Linked DNA regions of Oryzias latipes. The protein of the gene in region 2 interacts with the protein of the main gene of each other region in a pairwise test. Links are inferred from orthologs where the notes say so. Each region holds a gene or a part of one and is shown on either strand. Other genes may lie near its edges. The genes, in order: lamtor5, cep70 and akap17a.

The links.
Region 1: the proteins of cep70 (region 2) and lamtor5 interact in binary tests that used the Homo sapiens proteins (3 or more experiments, as listed by UniProt). The two-hybrid records come from large-scale screens. The link is inferred for Oryzias latipes from reciprocal best matches to the Homo sapiens genes CEP70 and LAMTOR5.
Region 3: the proteins of cep70 (region 2) and akap17a interact in binary tests that used the Homo sapiens proteins (3 or more experiments, as listed by UniProt). The two-hybrid records come from large-scale screens. The link is inferred for Oryzias latipes from reciprocal best matches to the Homo sapiens genes CEP70 and AKAP17A.

What each region holds. Positions count from the first base shown.
Region 1 is NC_019865.2:10,895,812-10,902,922, reverse strand, and holds lamtor5 (ragulator complex protein LAMTOR5), read left to right. Parts: upstream 1-2,732; 5' UTR 2,733-2,871; coding exon 2,872-2,906; intron 2,907-2,995; coding exon 2,996-3,057; intron 3,058-4,850; coding exon 4,851-4,968; intron 4,969-5,979; coding exon 5,980-6,040; 3' UTR 6,041-6,303; downstream 6,304-7,111. UniProt on the Homo sapiens protein: As part of the Ragulator complex it is involved in amino acid sensing and activation of mTORC1, a signaling complex promoting cell growth in response to growth factors, energy levels, and amino acids.
Region 2 is NC_019860.2:1,152,838-1,159,452, forward strand, and holds the end of cep70 (centrosomal protein of 70 kDa), read right to left. Parts: intron 6,569-6,615; coding exon 6,393-6,568; intron 6,325-6,392; coding exon 6,265-6,324; intron 6,151-6,264; coding exon 6,057-6,150; intron 5,509-6,056; coding exon 5,456-5,508; intron 5,382-5,455; coding exon 5,313-5,381; intron 4,362-5,312; coding exon 4,280-4,361; intron 4,192-4,279; coding exon 4,063-4,191; intron 3,997-4,062; coding exon 3,868-3,996; intron 3,800-3,867; coding exon 3,631-3,799; intron 3,557-3,630; coding exon 3,454-3,556; intron 3,386-3,453; coding exon 3,306-3,385; intron 3,219-3,305; coding exon 3,157-3,218; 3' UTR 1,977-3,156; downstream 1-1,976. Other genes in the region: protein SON, read right to left, coding at 351-433.
Region 3 is NC_019879.2:18,191,116-18,196,862, reverse strand, and holds the end of akap17a (A-kinase anchor protein 17A), read right to left. Parts: intron 4,937-5,747; coding exon 4,788-4,936; intron 4,506-4,787; coding exon 4,265-4,505; intron 4,170-4,264; coding exon 3,378-4,169; 3' UTR 2,435-3,377; downstream 1-2,434. Other genes in the region: asmt (acetylserotonin O-methyltransferase), read right to left, coding at 154-283, 641-815, 1,783-1,872. UniProt on the Homo sapiens protein: Splice factor regulating alternative splice site selection for certain mRNA precursors. Mediates regulation of pre-mRNA splicing in a PKA-dependent manner.

The DNA.
Region 1 (7,111 bases), on a different chromosome or scaffold from region 2:
TTTGGTTTTACTCTGTTTTTTTTTTTTTTTACTTTTATCTAGCTCTCATTATTGCATCTTTATTGTTTTTATATGTTGTTTGGTGTACTTTATTTAAAGCTAGTTAAACGTTTATTTAGCTATATTATGTTTATTTATGTGTAAACAACAGATATGTTCTCAAGGCACCACACAAAGCAATACACTTCAGACACATCAACCTTATTAGATATAAAGTTATTATCAAATTTAGTTTAAATCATTCCCATATCTTAGAATTATCTTGATTGTCCACTTAAGGCCATTGTAAGTGACAAACAGCGAAACATCAAAAGCTGCTCAGTGTAATCTCCATAGTAAGGAAGTAACAGGTGACTGTGGAAAAGGGAAAATTCCCTCTAAATGGAAGATGAAGAAGAAACCACCAACAGAACAAGACTCAGGATTGGGTAACAATCTGTTGTGATCGGTTGGGGTTTAAGAATCCTGAAAAGGGACTGGCAAAAACAGAAAAATAAAAAAGGGACCACTGCAGCAGTGGCGGTTCTACACTAACTTACTCCCTGGGCGAGTAACCCCACCAGCGCCCCCCCCCCCCCCCCCCCGCACACATACAAAATTTGTGTTCCCTGTCTTCTATTTAGCCATTTTACTCAAAAAATGCATGAATTTTCTAGACTCGTATTACAGGGGGGTCAAACTCAGTCACACAGGGGCCTAAGTTAAAAACACGCTTTAGGTTTTGGGCCGAAGAAGATAAACATTTACTGAACACACTAAAGCTAAACTTTTAAACCTTTTAAACTGAACATTTTGAACATAAATATTAATAAAAACAGGAACATTAATCCAGAATAACTCAAGTTAAACCTTAAATAACTTGAAATATTTTGTTCTCCATATAAATATGTTCTGTCAAAATTATACAAATATGAACATGCTGCAGAACAAAACAAAGAAAGCCTGGAAATATTAATAAGAAATTACATATCAAATAATTCCATTTTTTTTTGCTCTTTCATCATTTTTTAGAGCATTTTTTTTTTTAGAGCTAGACTCCTGCTTCATTTTTAGCAATAATTTCTTAATGTGTGACGTCCTGTGTGTGTCTCTGTGAAACATATCTGAGGGATTAGATCTAAAAAATAAAACTTATTGTGATTAATATGTTTAGGTCTTATAGAACATTAAAGACTAAATCTTAGAACTCATCAGTGGGATTACTCCAAAAATATTTGGCATTTCCCTAAATTTGTGCAACACCAACAGCAGAAATCCTCCAAAAAAACTCAATCCTAAAAAAATGGTCTGATCTAATCCCCCCTCCCCCTCCCCTTCCCTCTGACACACGCGGCTCCGTCTCCATGACGACAGCGCGCAGCTGCGGCTCAGAGTTGATTGTCAGATAGAAAAAGACCCCCAATCACCTGTTAGTGTGATTCAGCCAGCCACCGGCGAGCTGCGCTCCCCTCTCGAGTTTTTTGACTTATGTTCCAAAGACTACAAAGAGGTGTGGCCGCAATCGTCTTGCAGCAGAGGGCGGTGGTCACGTGCGCATCGGGTCTGCTGTGTCGGAGCAAAGAATTGTGGGAAATAATCTCCATTGCCTGCTTTTTTCGAAATTGGGTTGAGCACGGATGTTTGTTCTGCCTAATTCATTTTCATGTGCCGGTTTTACGTTGTTTCACTCTGAGGTATTCTTTTTTTTTTTTTTTTTTTTTTTTTTTTTGCACCATAAGTGTGAAGAGCAAATAGGAGGAAGACATTCTTTAGAGTCTGATGTGTCTAAATAAAAGCATTAAGTGTCGGCTGCTCAAGCAATTTCAAATTAAAAGCTCCAAGCTTCCTCTTTGAATTTAGTATGTAGCATATTATGTGTAACGCCTCAGGAACGGCAAATGCCGCCCCCTATGAAGTGCCGCCCTGGGCGACCGCCCACATCGACCATATCAAAAACCGCCACTGCACTGCAGTAAGATAAACAGTTTAAGTCCCACTCCAATAATCATTCGATCTATTTTCAGTGTTTCCAGTACCGGTAGTCTTTTAATTATAACTATGCCGCTTTTAGGCTAAATCAAAAAACCTTTGTCGTTTTCAGGGACATACATAGTTTCTGCAGCGTGGCAGTAGTTCATTAGAAATTCATCTCTGAGTTGTGGGCGGGACTGTTGGCGAGGACTAAGCCAATCCCTGCTTCCTATCATCAGTTTACAGCCCCTCACAGCCCCCAACCTAAAATTATGCAACAAAAATGGCTAGCAATATTGGAGCTATGCAGCCATACCGTTTTGATCCAGATGTCAGCTCTGGCAAAGAAAACAAAGATGTACAAGGATCTAGTCATCTACAAGCCAATCCATCATAATGGAAAATGCTGCTGGTTGTAGTAGCTTGTAGTAGCTTCTACGTCAGATCTGCAGGATATTTCAAATGGCATTTTTGCACATGCTACTGATTCACAACGATTTGAATAAAGAAATACTCAGAAATGCAATTTTAATCTTATTTTTTTTATGTGTCCTGCATCATCAGAAAAATGTCACAAGAATTAAAAAATACACCAAAAATCATTTATTTGAATTAAGCCGTCAATTCTATTCTATTCTATTCTATTCTATTCTATTCTATTCTATTCTACTGAAAACCAATTATTTTTAATTTGTACTAAAAGATACAGTTATCAGTCTGTCTTTAGTTGGTTGTTTTGTAGTTTTGAGTTGGCTCAGCCGTTCGCGCTTCGTCTTGTTTGACCCTGGCGATGTCTCTTACTGTACGTCACAGTCACATGATTGTCAGGAGGAATTTAAGGAAACAAACGTCAACAACAAAAAATACAATTTTTGGGCCATAGAACTTTACATTTTCTGATTTTTTTACGGTTTTCTAAAGATGGAGTCAACCCTCGAACAACACCTTGACGATACGTGAGTTCTAATCTATGCTAACTAGCTTGTTTCTTTACATTTCGTACATTCGTTTGGCTAATTCTCTTGATTTCGTGTTTTTTCTGCAGCATGAAAAATCCAGCTGTTGTTGGGGTTCTATGCACGGACCAACAAGGACACAACTTGGGCTGTAAGACTCTTCAGAGTTAACAGGAAGTCACATCACATGTATTTATTCACGAAGTACCCCGTAGTCGATATTCTCTAGTTCGTCAGTTTCGCTAATAAATAAATTCCCGCAACAGTTTAGTTTCCCCAAAAACACAAGTTTCCACCGCCAGCTGTTTATGAGAGATCATGTTGTTATTTCTGATGTTTTAGTCTTTAATCTCATTAGAGAAATGTTGCCAGTGAGTGAGAGAGGCAAAGATGTAACTCAGAAAGAAGACCCATAGTGTTTAGGTCAGTGCAGATCATGTGTAGACATCTGTCTCCTAAAGACATCCTTTGCTTACATAACGGGATGTGTTACTTTTTCCAAAGAGGCCCATATTTGCAGTGAATCTTAGAACTATTTGAAACACATTAAATTAAATATACTGCAATGGGATACTTTTCATGACATTTCATGATTACATGACAGTCTTCACATAGAAAACAGACATCTAACTACGTTTTTACCAAAATTACTGTCACATTTGTATATTTTTTGCACAGTTCATTCACAGTTAGCTTGTCGTATTAGCATGTCTTATCTGGTAGTTTCTCTTGATATTGAACTCCATGAAAACAGCCACAGTCTTCTGGCCCATTAGGCAGACACAGTTGTTTTATATTTCACTGAAAAAATGTTCAAATTTTCCATTTGTCCTTTAAGAGGTTGACCCTTAAAGAGCTAGAGAGTGTCACAAAAGGGTCGCACAACAGTGTTTCCACAGGTTTATAAAGTCTGATTTAGCCAACCACACAGCTTTTAGATATTGTTGCAGGACGCGTTCTGTTGATTTTATGTAGGAGCCTACGGGCCGGTGAAAATTTGAAAGGGGGCCGGATTTGGCCCACAAGCCGGACTTTGGACATGCCTGGCTCTCATGACTGATCGACTGTTTTCCGTGTTGAAGACCTGAGTCGGAATAATTTAAAAATGGGTCTTCAACTGAATAAGTAACAATTTCCTCTTGAGGCAAACTGATTTGATCTATTATATGATAGTAACAGTTCAGACCAGCAAACATAGCAAAGAATTCTGGCTCACTGTGGTGGTCTGATCTGCTGCTGGTTATTACACCTTTGCTGCCAGATGTTAAAGCTACATGTTAAATTATCACACTGTTGGTGCTCTGACATTGTAAAAACGTGAAATCAGATTTACTTTAAGAAAAAAGTTAAATTCTAAATAAAGACTGCAGTCCAAATGAACTGATCTGATGAGCAGAAGGATGCATCTAAAGCAGGTCATCATTTAAAGTCCCACTCTGATCATCTTTTGATCTATTTCAAAAGCATTCCTAGTCTTTTATTTATGATGAAGCTGTTTTTGACCCAAAAAAAATAGTCATTTTCCAGAACAAAGTTTCTGCAGAGCAGCACTAGTTTTTTTAAAAATTCACCTCTTGAGTTGTGAGCAGGACTGTCGGCGTGAAGTAAGCCCACTTGTCGTCACTCATCTGTTTACTGTTTACATGCTCTCCTGCTAGCTTTCAGCCCTTCAGACCCCAAGCCTAACATTAGCGGTACATCAAAAATAGCGAGCAGTATCAGAGCTATACAGTCCTAGAGTTTTTAACCCGATAACTGCTCGGATGAGAAAAACAAAGACGTCCATGGATCTAGTCTGGATTCTGCTGATTCACAACGATTTGAATAAACAAATCCTGAAAAATGCATTTTTGAATATGTTCTCCATCATCAGAAAAATGCCAAAAGAACATGTTTAAAACACAATTTTCATCAGAGCGGGTCTTTGACATATTTTTTTTTTAGGTCGTGGATCTCTGTCAGATGAACATGGAGGTGTGGTGTCTGTTCTGGCTAAACAAGCAGCTGCTCTCACCAGAGACCTGACGGACACACCGACTGTGTGCCTAGAGTCCGAGTCAGGGTGAGCCATGGACTGTGCCTTTGCACAACTTCTTCTATTTCTTAGTTTTAGTGCATTTAAGGTGTGCCTTTGTAGTTTTAAATGTGGAAGTGTACAAATAAGAGTTCCAAGACGCTGTGCAATCAGCTTCAACTTCTGTGCCACAGAGGTGCAGCAGAGATGAGCATCCTCTATACCTGCTGGTCACGTGGGAGACCATGCCTAATTATTTTTCTGAGTATTGGCTCCTCTATACTATTCATGACTTTTGGAACTTCCGGATGTTGGAATATAATAATTTCCCCACCTCCTCAATACTGTACATTTAAGTCATTTAATGGATGATTTAATTCAAAGTGGCTTAACAGTGAGATACAAAACAAACCATATTATCCAGGATTAAGTGGTTGTGAGGGTTAGACTCATGGATAATCATATAGGCAGACCTGGATTTGAGTATTTATTTTTTTGGACTATGCTGCCACCTTCTGGACTCTTTTAAACTATTGAATGTAGTGGAATTCCCACCTCTGAAATGGACTTTGTCATTTGGAATTAGAAATTTACCAAAAACACAAGTAAATAGAATTCAATCCTGTTGTCTAAGTAGCACAACACCAAAAAAAAAAAACTTCTAATGAAGCTGAACAACAAACAAACAAACAAACAAAAACAACAACTATATAGTTATGAAATTACCAACTCAATTTATACTCAAATAAAAAAAAAATGAATATAGTGTCTAAAATCTCTTTTTTCTATCTAAGCCAAAGGAAAAATGTTTACATTTTTATATGTGATGAGCTCAGAAATGATTAATGAAATGTGGCTCTTCTGCTGCTTCCACACGTGTAGACTGATGTTATATGGACAGGTGAATGTGTGACTGATGCAAATTTGATTAACATTTGCCAACCCAAAATCTTGGCATGTTATGTCTGACTGATCATTTACAATCACCTAGAATGATTTCTTCACTTTGCTGAACATTTGCCCCAATGCATTGTTTAATTTCTGATTTGCTTTTTGCAGAAACATTCTGGTGAGAAGTCACGGGACAATCACAATAGCCGTCCACAAAATTACATCGTGAAGACAACGGGACTTCCTGGAGTTTTATTGTAAAGATGAGATGCTCACTTGAATTCATAATAAAATTCTGCAGCATCTTGGCAAAAACAGGAAAAAGAAAAACTATTTTCTAAGTATTGTGGTTTTCTATTTAAAACAGTTGTAATGGAGTTGCATTGATATGATGTGCACGTTTTGTGGGGATTTCCCTGAAATTGCTGTTGTAAAAAACAGGACAGTCATTCACAGAAATATGTCTCTTAATAAACTTTAACTTGACTTTGAGGTGTCCTCTGTCTCTTTTCATCGTTAGCCTGCATGGGTTACCAATTATTTTCCTTGGCAGGTTGACATTCACAGTTGAATAGAGTAGCAGGGTTCAGGCAATCATGACAATCATGGAGTGAAGCCTCTTAACTCATACTTGTTAGAGGGAAACATGCAAAGACTTTATTAGGAAGATTTCTCTGTTTGGAGCAGAAAGTTGAGCTCACTAAAGTGGTTGTTTTGGTGGGAAGAACCAATTGTCCTGCAAGTGAACAGCCATGGATGCTGTAACTGCAGAGCGCCACCCCCCAACCCGCACCCTCAGATGGGGCTCGCCTGTGCGTCTTGGTCACGTGACCCCTCGGTTAAGAGCGCAGGCTTTGCGCTCTGCGGCTGTTGGCCACTGTCGCGATGCTGAGGCTGGGATTTGAGATGCAGTCCAGCGGCAGCCGCGCATAGAGGCAAAGTTATGGCACAGTCATCCCAGGAGAACTGGGCTCTGCTGCAGCTTCTGCCACTTTCCCTCCCCGCTTTTTGCACATGTCTTGCAGAGACGCACAGCGCCGTGGCGAGAAAAGCCCACAATTCCCTTTAGGTTGAACTCATGATTCAAATGAGGTCAGAAGCAGGACCAAGACGACAATAACTTCAGGTATGTGGCGCTGCTGTTGCAGACTTTTCACTCATGTCTCACTGCTATTGGAGGCGAAAGTTTTAAGAACAAACTGTTCAAACATCAGGTTGTGTGTGCGTAAAGTTTTTAGTTGATTTCATTAGCGTTTAAAACTTTTTTATTGCTGTGTTTTTCTTTTCTTTTGTTCTTTAT
Region 2 (6,615 bases):
TGCATCTATACCGGAATAAAGGCTAATCATTGTTAGAACTACCCATCATGCTAGCATAAAATAGTACTGCTGTCTCCCTCATTTAGAAATAATACATATGGTTTTATTTGCACTTTGGGGCTATATTTTTCTTAAATATCATGTCTGGTTTTTCTGCATCTTTCCGCGGGTCCAAACTTGATCGAACCGGTCCGGACATCGCTTAACGGCACCGGGGTCGCTTTGAAAGAGTAAACATGCCGCTACAGCTAGCTTCTCGGCTGAAGCCTGTTAGCGGCAGCGAGCATGCGCAGTTCCGTTCCAAACGCTTGATCCTAAAGCTCGAACGGGTAAAGACAAAAGTGACGTACGCGGGGTCTTCGCTTTGATCCTCAATTTCTCTGATCTTTTTCAAAATAAAATCCTGGAAGATTTGCTCTATGTTGGCCGCCATGGTTTTGTGTGCGTCACTTTTAAAATGTCCGGGCGGAAACAAGAACGCTCTCTGACCTCAGAGACGTCCGTTCCATTGAGTTATATCACAAGAGGAGACACGCCCGCTTGGAAAGCCTGGCGGACGGTGGCGGAGTGTGAAGCCATCTTGGTGAGGTCGATGGCGCCCACATGACAATGATTTCTATAGCTTTTGGTGGCATCTAAGTAGCTTTTATATAATTCATATATATTTCTATTTCTATATATTTTTACATATATATAAATATATATAAGAGAAACCGGCAGCCTTAAAAGCTCAAACTTTAATGAAAAATGCATAATTGCAGGACTTCTTACAAATAAAAATTATAACAAAGAATTTTAAAATTAATTTTTAAACATGTAGAAGTTTTAGACCACTTTGATATGTAATTTAAATTATTTATAAAACACCAACAATAAGTCAATACTAAGTCAATCATAATAAATAAAAATATATAAATAAGTCAATTATAATAAAAAATGAAAACAATTAATCAATAATAAGTCAATGATAATAAATAATAAGTCAACAATAAATAAAAAGTTAACAGATTTACCCTTAGAAAAATATATATAGATTTACCTACTGATTCATGTGAGTGATAAGTTTGTGTAACACTGATGGTATGGTGTCGGGTTTCAACCAGTCTTATAAAAATGTGTTTCCACAAATGTTCTGAACATAGCCAGACTGTATTACTAGTTGGTACCACAGTGATCCATCTGGGTTAGCTCTTTTTATTGCTAAGGCCCACTTTTTCCTTAAGTTTGAATCCATTGAAACCTGCAAGAAAAGTTCAGTCACTGAGTCAGGAATGTAGAAATCTATATAACTATATTAGCCTAGTCCTTGTATACTGTATAAGTTTAACACAAAGTTTACATTTATGTCGACAGCAAATTATATGTATAATGCAGCATGTTGATAATAGCCCAACAGCATCATGCATGTCAACATGTGTTCTTTTAAAAAAACACTTATACTATTACTTATGCCCCTGCAGCTTTAAAAAAAAAAAAAGACTTAACTGTCAAACGTTATGCGTTCCTCCTTCATGGACTAATTTCTTCGATTTTGGCAGTTGAAACTTGCACAATGAACTGGCATTTTGTCAAAAAATGTGTTCACATGCATGCACTGCAGCAGTGACTTGACCTCACCAAGATGGCGGTGCTCTCCTCCCATGAGGAACTACGTGATGTCTCCTCTAGCGATAGAACTCATTGGTCCGTTCCTTTTTTTGTTTTATTAGAGCGTGAAAAAAATATACCGGGGTGTACAAATCCTTCACAATTCTGATAAAATTTTAAAAATACTTTAATTTTTGTTGTTTGTTTTTAATCACAAGAAAACTGACCTCAACTTTGTTTCCAATCTCAAATTTTAATTCTAGATGGAGCTGCTTGGATTTGAACCCACAACCATCCAATCTCAACGCAGACACTCCACTACTAGGCCACTTAGCTAAAGAATATAGAAAGGAAGAATGGTAAACACAGAAAACTACACAATTACAAAAAAATGTTCAAAATTTGTTTTTAATTTACCTTAAATACCATAATGACTTTCTGTATACAAAAATGCTTCCATAATTCAAACAGTTTGACAATAAAACATATTTATAACAACAAAAAGTTGCGGCAGCTCATTAAAAACAGGCCAATATGTTCTACCAGCATTCGTGTTTATTTCACAAAGGAAACGTAACAATAAGAGTTTTTGTTAAATATTTTCTGTACTTTTTGTGTCTAAATGAAATGAGAATGAAAAACAAATGTTAAGAGATATATTTATAGGCCATATCACCCAGCCCTTGGTATCCTCTGACAGCTATTTGATTCCTTCCCGAGTGTCAATTGACAGCTCCTAGGTCCTGTCCCTAGTGTCCTTTGACAGTCCCTTGGACCTGTCCTAGTGTCAATTGACAGTCCCTTGGTCCTGTCCCTAGTGTCCTTTGACAGCCCCTTGGTCCTGTCCCTAGTGTCCTTTGACAGCCCCTTGGTCCTGTCCCTAGTGTCCTTTGACAGCCCCTTGGTCCTGTCCCTAGTGTCCTTTGACAGCCCCTTGGTCCTGTCCCTAGTGTCAATTGACAGCCCCTTGGTCCTGTCCCTAGTGTCCTTTGACAGCCCCTAGGTCCTGTCCCTAGTGTCCTTTGACAGGTCTTTGGTCATGTCCTGAGTGTCAATTGACAGCTTTTTGGTCATGTCCCTAGTGTCCTTTGACAGCCCCTTGGTACTGTCCCTAGTGTCCTTTGACAGCCCCTTGGTCCTGTCCCTAGTGTCAATTGACAGCCCCTTGGTCCTGTCCCTAGTGTCCTTTGACAGCCCCTTGGTCCTGTCCCTAGTTTCCTTTGACAGCCCCTTGGTCCTGTCCCTAGTGTCCTTTGACAGCCGTTGGTCCTGTCCCTAGTGTCCTTTGACAGCCCCTTGGTCCTGTCCCCAGTGTCCTTCGACAGCCCCTTGGTCCTGTCCCTAGTGTCCTTTGACAGCCCCTTGGTTATGTCCCTAGTGTCCTTTGACAGCCCCTTGGTCCTGTCCCTAGTGTCCTTTGACAGGTCTTTGGTCATGTCCAGAGGGTCAATTGACAGCTCTTTGGTCATGTCCCACAGGTATTTAGTGGAGGACAGAAGAATTTCCGAGAAGTGAAGGAACCGAGACGGTTTTATTCTCCTGTGGTTTTTTTGTGGAATAATCGGGAGATCAGGCTGCAGAACGCTGCAGAGACTTCAAAGCAGGAAGGATTTCCTCCAGGTGAGTCACACCTGCAGCACAAACAGGACAGCAGATGATCTTCCTTCAGCCAGCAGCTGTTCAGTAATGAGACGAGAACATCAGAGCTTCACCCTCACCCAGAGTCTGTAGGATGTCGGTGATGAGGCGGTGGAAGGCGGGCAGGAACTCGTCGTGCTGCTTCACTTTGAGGATGACGCTGCAGGAAGAAGAACGGCGTGAAGAGGGGAAGCAGCCGAGCGCCACTCTGGAGCTGCAGGTGCTCACCTGTCGATGTCCGCCTCCTCCAGCAGGTCCCGCAGTCCCGACTGCTGAGCAGACGCCAGCGCAGACACGTGGTTCACCACCTCCGCAGGCGACGCTCTGCCGTCTGCAATCAGAAAGACTCCAGCGTGACTGCAGGAATGCGCAGACCAGCCGCCGGACGGACGGGATCAGAGCTACCCAGGTCCAGAGCGTCCTTCAGGTTCCTCATGGCGTTGGTCATCTCTGCCAGCCGCGTGTAGACCTCGTTCATGCGGGGGTAGACCCCTCTGAGGGACGGAACGTCGAACAGCTTCTGGAAGTGGGACACTATGGCGCTCAGAGTGTAGGGGGCGGAGTTCCGGAGCTTCTGGAGAACAGAGCAGAGTGAGAACCTGACGCTCGGACCAGCGCCGACCCACAGGCAGACCGGCAGACCTGCTCAGGGTCTTTGGATGCGTTTTCCAGCATGTCCTCCACCAGCACGATCAGGTCCTCCACCTTCACCGCGGCCGCAGAGTCCTCTCGAGGCCCGCCTGACAGGTCCACCAGCAGGTCCCGGAGGTCCTGAAGACACAGCAGTGTCACACATCGGCACGTCCTCACCGCGGAAACCCCAGAACCACGCCGTACCTTCAGCAGGCGGCGCTGGCCAGCCCAGTCCTCCAACACCGGCAGGAGCGCCTGGAAGTCAGCCAGCTCTGACTCCGCCTCTTTGGAGGAGGCGGGGCTCCCGATGACCGCTCTGATGTCAGACAGCAGCTGGAAGCAGAGAGAGGGAGGAGACGGTAAAACAAGGAGGAAAACATCAGAGTGAAGCTTGGACAGAGACCGGGGGAAGAGCGCTCACGGTTCGGAACTGAGCGCACAGCCAGACCTCCCTAGGAGGTTCTTCTACGCCCTTTGTCTTAGCTCCGCCCACTGTGGTCAACCTGCAGAGACAAGAAAGGAGTGGAAAATAACCGTAGGTAGCTCCTCCTCTGTCCGTCACCACGCAGAGGAGCTCCACCCTCAACCAACAGAACTCCACCAGAACCACCTTTAGGCTGCGTTCAGCTGGTCCTTAGCTGGTCCACGTCTCAGCTCCTGCGTTCTAAACTCTTGCGTTCACGTGGAGCTACACAAATTCCTACGACAGTTTTCAAACTAAAGGCACGGCCATTACACACGTGTTAAGGTCAAACAGACGTGGAGAACCCCGCCAAACTCCAGGGTACTTGGTTTATCGCAAACCCGACGACACGCGTTTGTTTTTTTAAACAAAGATAAGAAGAGGCCCCTCCCCTTACATGACGCTAATCCCTATTCGGCGTACGGAGGGCACTAGCAAGAAACGGAACCATTTTGCGCTGAAATCGCCAGATCTGCACCACTTCGACATGCGCTGGTAAAGAGTAGAAGAAGCCCCTCCCTGCTGGTCCAGTGTGAACCCCAAATGCCTTTAGCGAGTGTTTTTGTGTCCCTAGCTTTAGACTTCAGACAAAAACGTTCAAATATAAAGTCTGTCAAGATTTCATTTTTTTCAGCTCCCAACAGTATTTTAGGGAAACTAAATGTTTCTGTAGCCTGAAAGGAGCAGAAAAGAACGATAGGAAGACAATATTTTATATCAAAACCAATGATTTGATCAGGTTTCTCTTTAAAACAGATTCATTTGGATCATTTGAGCAGTAAAAAGTCAAAACGATGCAAATAGAATGAAGGTGGAAACTGTTTTTGGTCGTTTTTGTTGTCATTATTTTCCCCAAATGATCAAATTACAACTTAATGTGGTTTAAAAAAATCTAAAATAAATAAATCTAAATAAAAATGGACTATAACCAGTTCTATGAGTAAATATCCCAAAGAGAGTCCAGAGCCCACAGCTTCTGTTGCCGCCGTACCTGGCGGCGCCCGGCTGCAGCCCCTCCAGGTGGCGCCGTCTGCGGCCCTTCGGCTGCTCCCGGGTCGGTCTGCAGAGGAACAGAGGCAGCGTGAGGATCAGCCTCCCAGCAGAACCCTGAGGAGCAGCAGGAGCTCCACCCACCTGGAGTCTAGCTCCGCCTCCAGCTGCGTGCGCCTCTCCTTTTGTGGGAACACCTGAGGAGGACAGCGCCACCTGGTGAGAGCCGGACCCTAAAAGATAAGCCTAAAGACTGTTTTAGAGGCAACTTTTGGTTTTATCCTCATTAAAGATAAAAAGAAATCCTTCAAAGTAAGAGATGTTTCTGAAGAACTTTAGGAAGCCAAGAAAAGATCATGTGACCTCAAAACTCAACCGATCCCACTTCAGATAAATGCTTCAACGTTTGTATTTTATCAATCTTCCCTCAGAAAAATCTGATTCTTTGGCTGAAATGGATATTAATATTTTATGTTTACATTGATTGATTTAAATGATTTTTTAGAAGTCTTTTTTTGCCAACGTGACGTTTTTTGACCCAGACTTTTATTTTGGTAAAACACTTTAGCTTTAATCTTGAACTGGGCATCTTAAGACAATAAAAGTCTTTGCTTAAATGAACTTCCTGTCAGGTGGACCAATAATTCCCTTTGGTCTTCCTCCAATCTTCCTCTTCAGCTTCCAGGAAATGGAATTTCCAGCTTTTCCTGTTGGAAGTCAAAGATTTGGATTTGGGAGTTTTTGCCTTGAGGTCTGTTTTGAAGGATGAAGGAGCGCCGGCGGCGGTCCGTTCCCCACCGTCCTGCAGCTCCGAGGCCTCGGCTCCTCCTCTAGCAGACCTGCAGAGGAGAAGGTTTCATACTAAAACCCCTTTGGGATTATTCCTAATCCTAATCTCCTCGTTTTGACACTGAGGCTCCTGAAAGTGAGGAAGAGGAGGAGTCCCGCTTCACCTGAGCTCCTCCATCAGTCGCCTCCTCTCCGCTTCGTAGAAGTCGATGACGTCCAAAACCCTGCAGACACAAACGCTGCTGTGGTGAGAGCCGCAGCAGAGCGTGGCGGCGGCGGGCGGCGCCCTCACCGCTGATCGGCGGCGGTCTGCAGCCGGGACGTCTTCCCGCAGATCTCCTGGAAGCTGCGGTTCCGCCGGGCCAAGCGCCGCTCCTCCTGCTCCACGGCGAAGCGCAGCTTCCAGCGGAGCTTGGCGGCCTCCTCCTCCTTCCTGCGCAGCTTCTGCTGCAGCTGCTCGCAGCGGCGCTGACGGGATCACAAACACACGGCCTTAACCCAGAACCAGAACCACA
Region 3 (5,747 bases), on a different chromosome or scaffold from region 2:
CTCTTGTGGCTAACTTCACTTTTGAAAAATTCCTTTTAAGAAACCGCTAGTTGCTGCTGCAAATATCTTTCCAAGATCTTATTTTTTGTGTAACTTTGTCAAATCATGAAAGCACAGAAAAACACAAAAAAACAGGGGAAATTTGGAACTGACCTGACAGCATCCGTGAGGTAGTGCCAGCAGAGGTAAATGGTTCGCGAGCTGTACTGAATGGACTGGCAGAGGGACAGAGGACTGGAGCGTGTGAGGAAGACTCTGGCCTCCTCTGTATTGCTGTATAACACTGGAACAGGTGGAGGAAGACAAGTAGAGGAGAGTGAATAAATGTGGAGATGCCAGTGCACAGTTTGGCCATCTGTGAGTGGGAGGTCAGGTCACAGGCCAGATGTGACCTGACCTCACTGCCACACATCTCCACATCTCCTAAGTCTGTGGTGGCCAAGATTAAAAATCCACATATAAATTAAGATAATATGGTAAACATGACGCTTTTTTTCAATCTTCCCCTTAACTTTTTATAATATTCTGCACATCTCTATAAAATGGTTGTAACTTTTGATCTCCTTTAACAGATCAAGCTAATTAAAAGGGGGGAAAGTCTGTTGTGTCAGTGTGTGCGAGTGCATCTGTGTGTTCTGACCTTGTCCTTTGTCGTGGTGGACGATGAGCAGCTGTAGACCAGCACAGGCAGCCAGCAGCCTCTGAGTGCCATCCAGACTGGCCCCCACTGCCTGACTGATCTCCTCTGCAGACAGGGGTTGCTCTGCTTTCAACAGCACATCAAACACACCCAGTTCACAGGAGGTAAACACCGTCTGGGTCAGACAGGGAAGATCAAGACAAGGAAAGTACAGATTGATGAATAAAATTGTCTGTGTAGTTCTGTAGTTTTAATAAGTCTTAGTAAACACATATTCTCTTTTGGTTTATTCCTCTTTTTTTTTATTTGACACATAACTTGAAGTGTTTGTGAAAAGGTAATTTTTTTACCAAACTGTCAAGAGAGACAAAATTATTTTTGATAAAATAATACTAAGATTAAGATTAAGATCAACTTTATTAATCCCTGTAGAGAACTTCAGTTGTAGTAGCAGCACCATAAAATAAATACAAACTATAGGGAGGAAAAACTCTTATATACAGGTACAATATTGACGCTACAGATTAGGATGCCTCATCTTGTTACTCCGGCAAAAAAATAAATATATATATAGTTTGCTTCCTGCTTTACTGCAAAAAACCCAACCAGTAGGTTTAGGTTTTAGGTTCACATGAATAAGCACGCTAAGCAAAACCACTCCTTTAGTTTTATTTATCCTATACATCTACTTACACAGATGAAAGTATGTCAGATCAAAATTTAAACTGTAGGATAGATTTTATTTTAAAAGGAACTGGTGTGTGCTCCTGTCAAAAGTAAAGAAGTTATTTGTAGAGGAAAGGTAACCCGTGAAATTCAATTACTGCAAATATTTAAAACCTACATTTTATAATAGAATAGCATAATGCTCACAAAAAGATAAATAAAGTGTATTTTTCTGAACGTTGAGGCGAGACTTAATAGTTCTCGCTGGGTTTTGGTCAGTAAGAAACTGGACTAAGTGCCTCTTTATTTACACTCAATATACCCAATGAAGCAAACTTCAGATGTATTATTTTTTTTTCCAAGGGTTGGCAGTGAACTGATTAATCTTAGCAATAAATGTTACTGTCTTTCCATCAGTGCCATATCATGAACTAAACAGAGAACACTGGAGTGAGCAAATGCCACAGAAACTTTACCTTTGAGATCAAAAAGCCTTCCATGTACTCCAGGATTTTTTTGGGGTACAGGTCTGCAGCAGGAGCCCCTTGAGTGGAATGTGATGCCATAGATGGGCCAAAAATCCACTAAAATTAAAAACAAAAAAACAGTAGGTTTTGTTTCTCCAAATTGTTGCTGAAGAGAAGTCAGTGCAGCAGCCCTCAGTGTGACTGGCAGTGCTGAGAAAACCAGACTGAGCCTAAATCAAAGCCCACCCAGCAGCAATAACAGTGAGAGTTGCAGTGGGCTAAGCTGATTACAACCAGATAACCCAGATTAGAGCATGGACTCAGTCTGACAAAGAAACAACTCTATAAAAACACTGCGGCCTTGTTTATTATCCCTGAACCCACTGCTTTTCACCAAGCTTTCCCAATTAGTGCCTCCTCTTGTTCGCCGTTTGTTTTCCCCAACAAAAGAAAAAGTTCACCATGTACGATTTACTTGGGTCTGTGATTACTTATGCAGAAAAAAAATGTCCCCATGTTTTACATAAATACATTTGATCTCACATGAATGTCATGACACATATGCACAAAATGAAGTTTAGTGGTAACAAACTACAAATGACCCGTTTTGAGGTTATAAAAAAAAAAACACTAAAAAAAGCAAGACACCCATAAAGACTTGTCAACTTTGAAAACGTTTATTTTTCATAACCAGCTTGCAGTGTTTGTAAGTCATGCTTCACGGGAGAATTGTAATCCTGCAGAACAGATGGGTCTTTGTAGTGAGAAAACTTTTACAGTCTGTTGAGCCGCATCACTCTAAAAACCTGAAAACAGAACAACATTCAGACTCGACTCTGTGTTCAACAGTAGATTTTCATTTTAATCACTTTTGTTCCTCTTTTCACATATGGACAGAAAAAAAGGGCACACGTGTCTTCAAGTCTCTTCAAAATAAAAGGCTTGTTCTGAAGCCGATTCTTCAGTCTATAAGTTACAGCTTCATCTTTTATTGTGTACAACAAAAGGAAATAGCAGGTTCTAGAAAGAAAGAAAAAAGACTGAGGCTTATAGAATGAAAGCAGTTTCTTCAAACATCTGCAAAAGTCACAAAACAAAAACCAAAAAGATGTCGGAGTAGTTCCCTTTGACACCTTCATCACCTATACTTTGAAGCCTAAAGCAGTAAAATGACATGCTGGGTCTTAAAAACGCCACTACAGCTGTAGCAGCTCAACTAAAACAGTTGATAAAAAAGGTCAAGAAATTCTCACCTCCTTTTTGGTTTAATACAGACAAAACTGTTTCCTAACAAGTCTAGAGTGGAGTTTTTGTTAAAAAATATTCACCAAAGCTTTTCTTTTTTTCTGTTTGCTTTGCTGCCGTCCTGAAATGTGTTCATTCACATTTTTACATAACATAGATGCCAGAAGATTCCTTACGTTAGAAGCTTCAGCTGAGCAACAGAACAACTGAGTAACTTTGTAAAACGGACATATTTTTTTATTATTTTTATCTACACCCCTGACATTCATAAATGTAGGCTTGAGATCCTTTTGTGAAGTTTGGTTGAATTTCTTTGCATTCTGACCTAAGACACTAAACTTTTCTGTTTGAAAAGCGGCTCAGCGTCTCCTGGAGTGGCTCCTCTTGGTGCTGCCGCTGCGTCTCTGGTGTCTCCTGTGATCTCTGTGCTGACTGCTGCTTCTGGATCGCTGTCTGCTGTATGTGTGGCGACTCCGCCCGTGGCTCCTTCCCCTGCTGCAGCTCCTTCCCCTGCTGCTCCAGCTCCGCTCTCTGCTGGAGCTGGTGCTGCAGCGTCTCCTGCTGCTGCTCCTCCTGTGGCGGCTGGAGCTCCTCGAGCTCCTTCTCCGTCGGCTGTGACTCTGAGAGCGCCTCTGTCTCCCTCGACTGTGCGAGCTTCTTTCTCTGCGTGAGTGGCCTCTAGTTTGTTCCTTTCCATGTCTGTTTTTAACCATTTCTTCGTGTTTGTCATTTGAGCTCTTCTTGGACAAAGTTTTTGATCTAACACTAGCCTCAGATACTTGCTTCTCTTTGCCGTTTCCTGGCTCCAACCCGTTCACTCGACCCAGGACCTCCAGCATCCCACAGTGAGGATCCGAGGCCTCTTCGCTGCCTTGTAAGCCAGCCGGTTCCCGTACGACTCCGGCGGTTTCCTCGCTGCTTTTCTTAATGAGGTTGGACAGAAGTTTGTCTCTCAGCTCCTTTTCTCTACGTTGGAGTTCCAGCGCTCGCTGCTTCTCCACCTCCACCCTCCGCAGCTCCTCCTCCTGTCTGCGCCGACAGGCTTCCAGCTGCTGAAGGCGAGCCAATTCCTCCTTTTGTCTGGCCTGCTCCTGTCGCTCTTGCTTCTCTCGTTCCGCCTTTTCTTTTTCCTCCTGATGCTGTTTGAGTGTCTGAAGGGAAGGACGAGACATAAAGAAAACCATCTGTGCTGTCAAAACAAGGGCTGTGAAACTCCGGAGGGGGAAAACCTGTGCGAGTTTCATACCTTGGCTCTGGCCAGCAGCTCAGCAACGAGACGTAAGGATTCCAGGTTGCGCTGAGCCAGCAGCAGCCTCCTCTCCTCCATCGCGATCTTCATCTGCAGCTTCTTCTGCTCCTCCTCCTGCTGCCGCCTGACCTTCTTCACATTCCTCCTTTCCTCCTTCTCCCGTAGCTTTTGCTCCCGCTTCCTTATCCTCTCTTCTCTTTTTCTCTCCTTTTCCTCCTCCTCCATCTTTTTCAGTTTCCTGAAAAAGCAATCAGTGACACGGATATAACCCTGTTTTTGGTGAAAGTAGACTGAATTCTAAGAGGGAAAAGAAAAACTACAATTTCCTGTTCCTGTTCAGGAGAAGATGAGGGTAAATATTTTCTTAAAATTAAAATTAAAAAAAAGCAGAAGGAAGAAATGCAAATACATTTTTTGACATAAGGTTGCATGTGAATTCATTTACTTTTGTGTTTAATGTGGCCATACTGAAGCCTCACCAGTCTAGATGAACTGACCATTCCCCTGTTTTTTACCATACCTCTCTTCCTCCTTTCGCCTCTCCTCCTCTTCTTTCTCTCGTCGTTTCTGCTCCTCTCTCTGCTTCTCCAGCTCCTGCAGCTTCAGCCGCTCCAGGTTCCTCTTCTTAATGGCCGCGTCACTAAGGTGTTTGCTGGTGTCGAACGTCACCTGAAAGGAATAAAAACCACATTTAACATCATTTAACGATAAATATGACTGTTGTGTGTTTGCTAACCGAGGAGTTTTGGGCATTTATGTACCGGTACCTGCAAGAAACTAAAAGATGTCCGCCTTGATGAAATGTTGAAGTATGAGACCAAGAACATTCAAACTTTGGCATTTGAAAACAAATATATGCATTTCATTATCTGTAATCAAAGTTGCCTTTTCTGGGGTCTTACATCAGTTTAAATCCCACAGCTTTAGTCTCTGGATTAAACCACTTCAGTCTGCCGCCAGCAGAACCTCAGAGATACTGATGACACAGCTTTCATTCTGATGGCAGTGAAAGGTCTTAAGCTACTCTGTCACTCAGACCAGAACAATCTCTTTGATTCAGCCTGCAAATGTTCATCATCACTGCAAGAGCTGCATTTAATCAGTCATGTCACAAAATAAGGAATCATTAAAAATAAACAGCTTTTGAAGTAAAACCAAGACTTTCACTCAAAAATGATTTACGGTATCGTAGACTTTTAGATATTTATGGAGCTTAGGTGATAAGTCCTTCATATCATTTAAAAACTCCAAAAAGAAAAGCCTTTCAGTCATTTATTTGCTTACATGGAGGTGAAAACACCCACTAAGTTGTGTTTAAGTACAATAGACATGAAATTAGCTATAAATGTGTACATGAAGTAGCCATTAGGGGGGTTTCTCAACCCTTCTGGGTAAAGAGGACAGCCTCTAACACCAGACTCTCAAAATAGGACAATTCCATTCTATGATGCGCAGTGATTTACAAATATTTAGCAGAAAA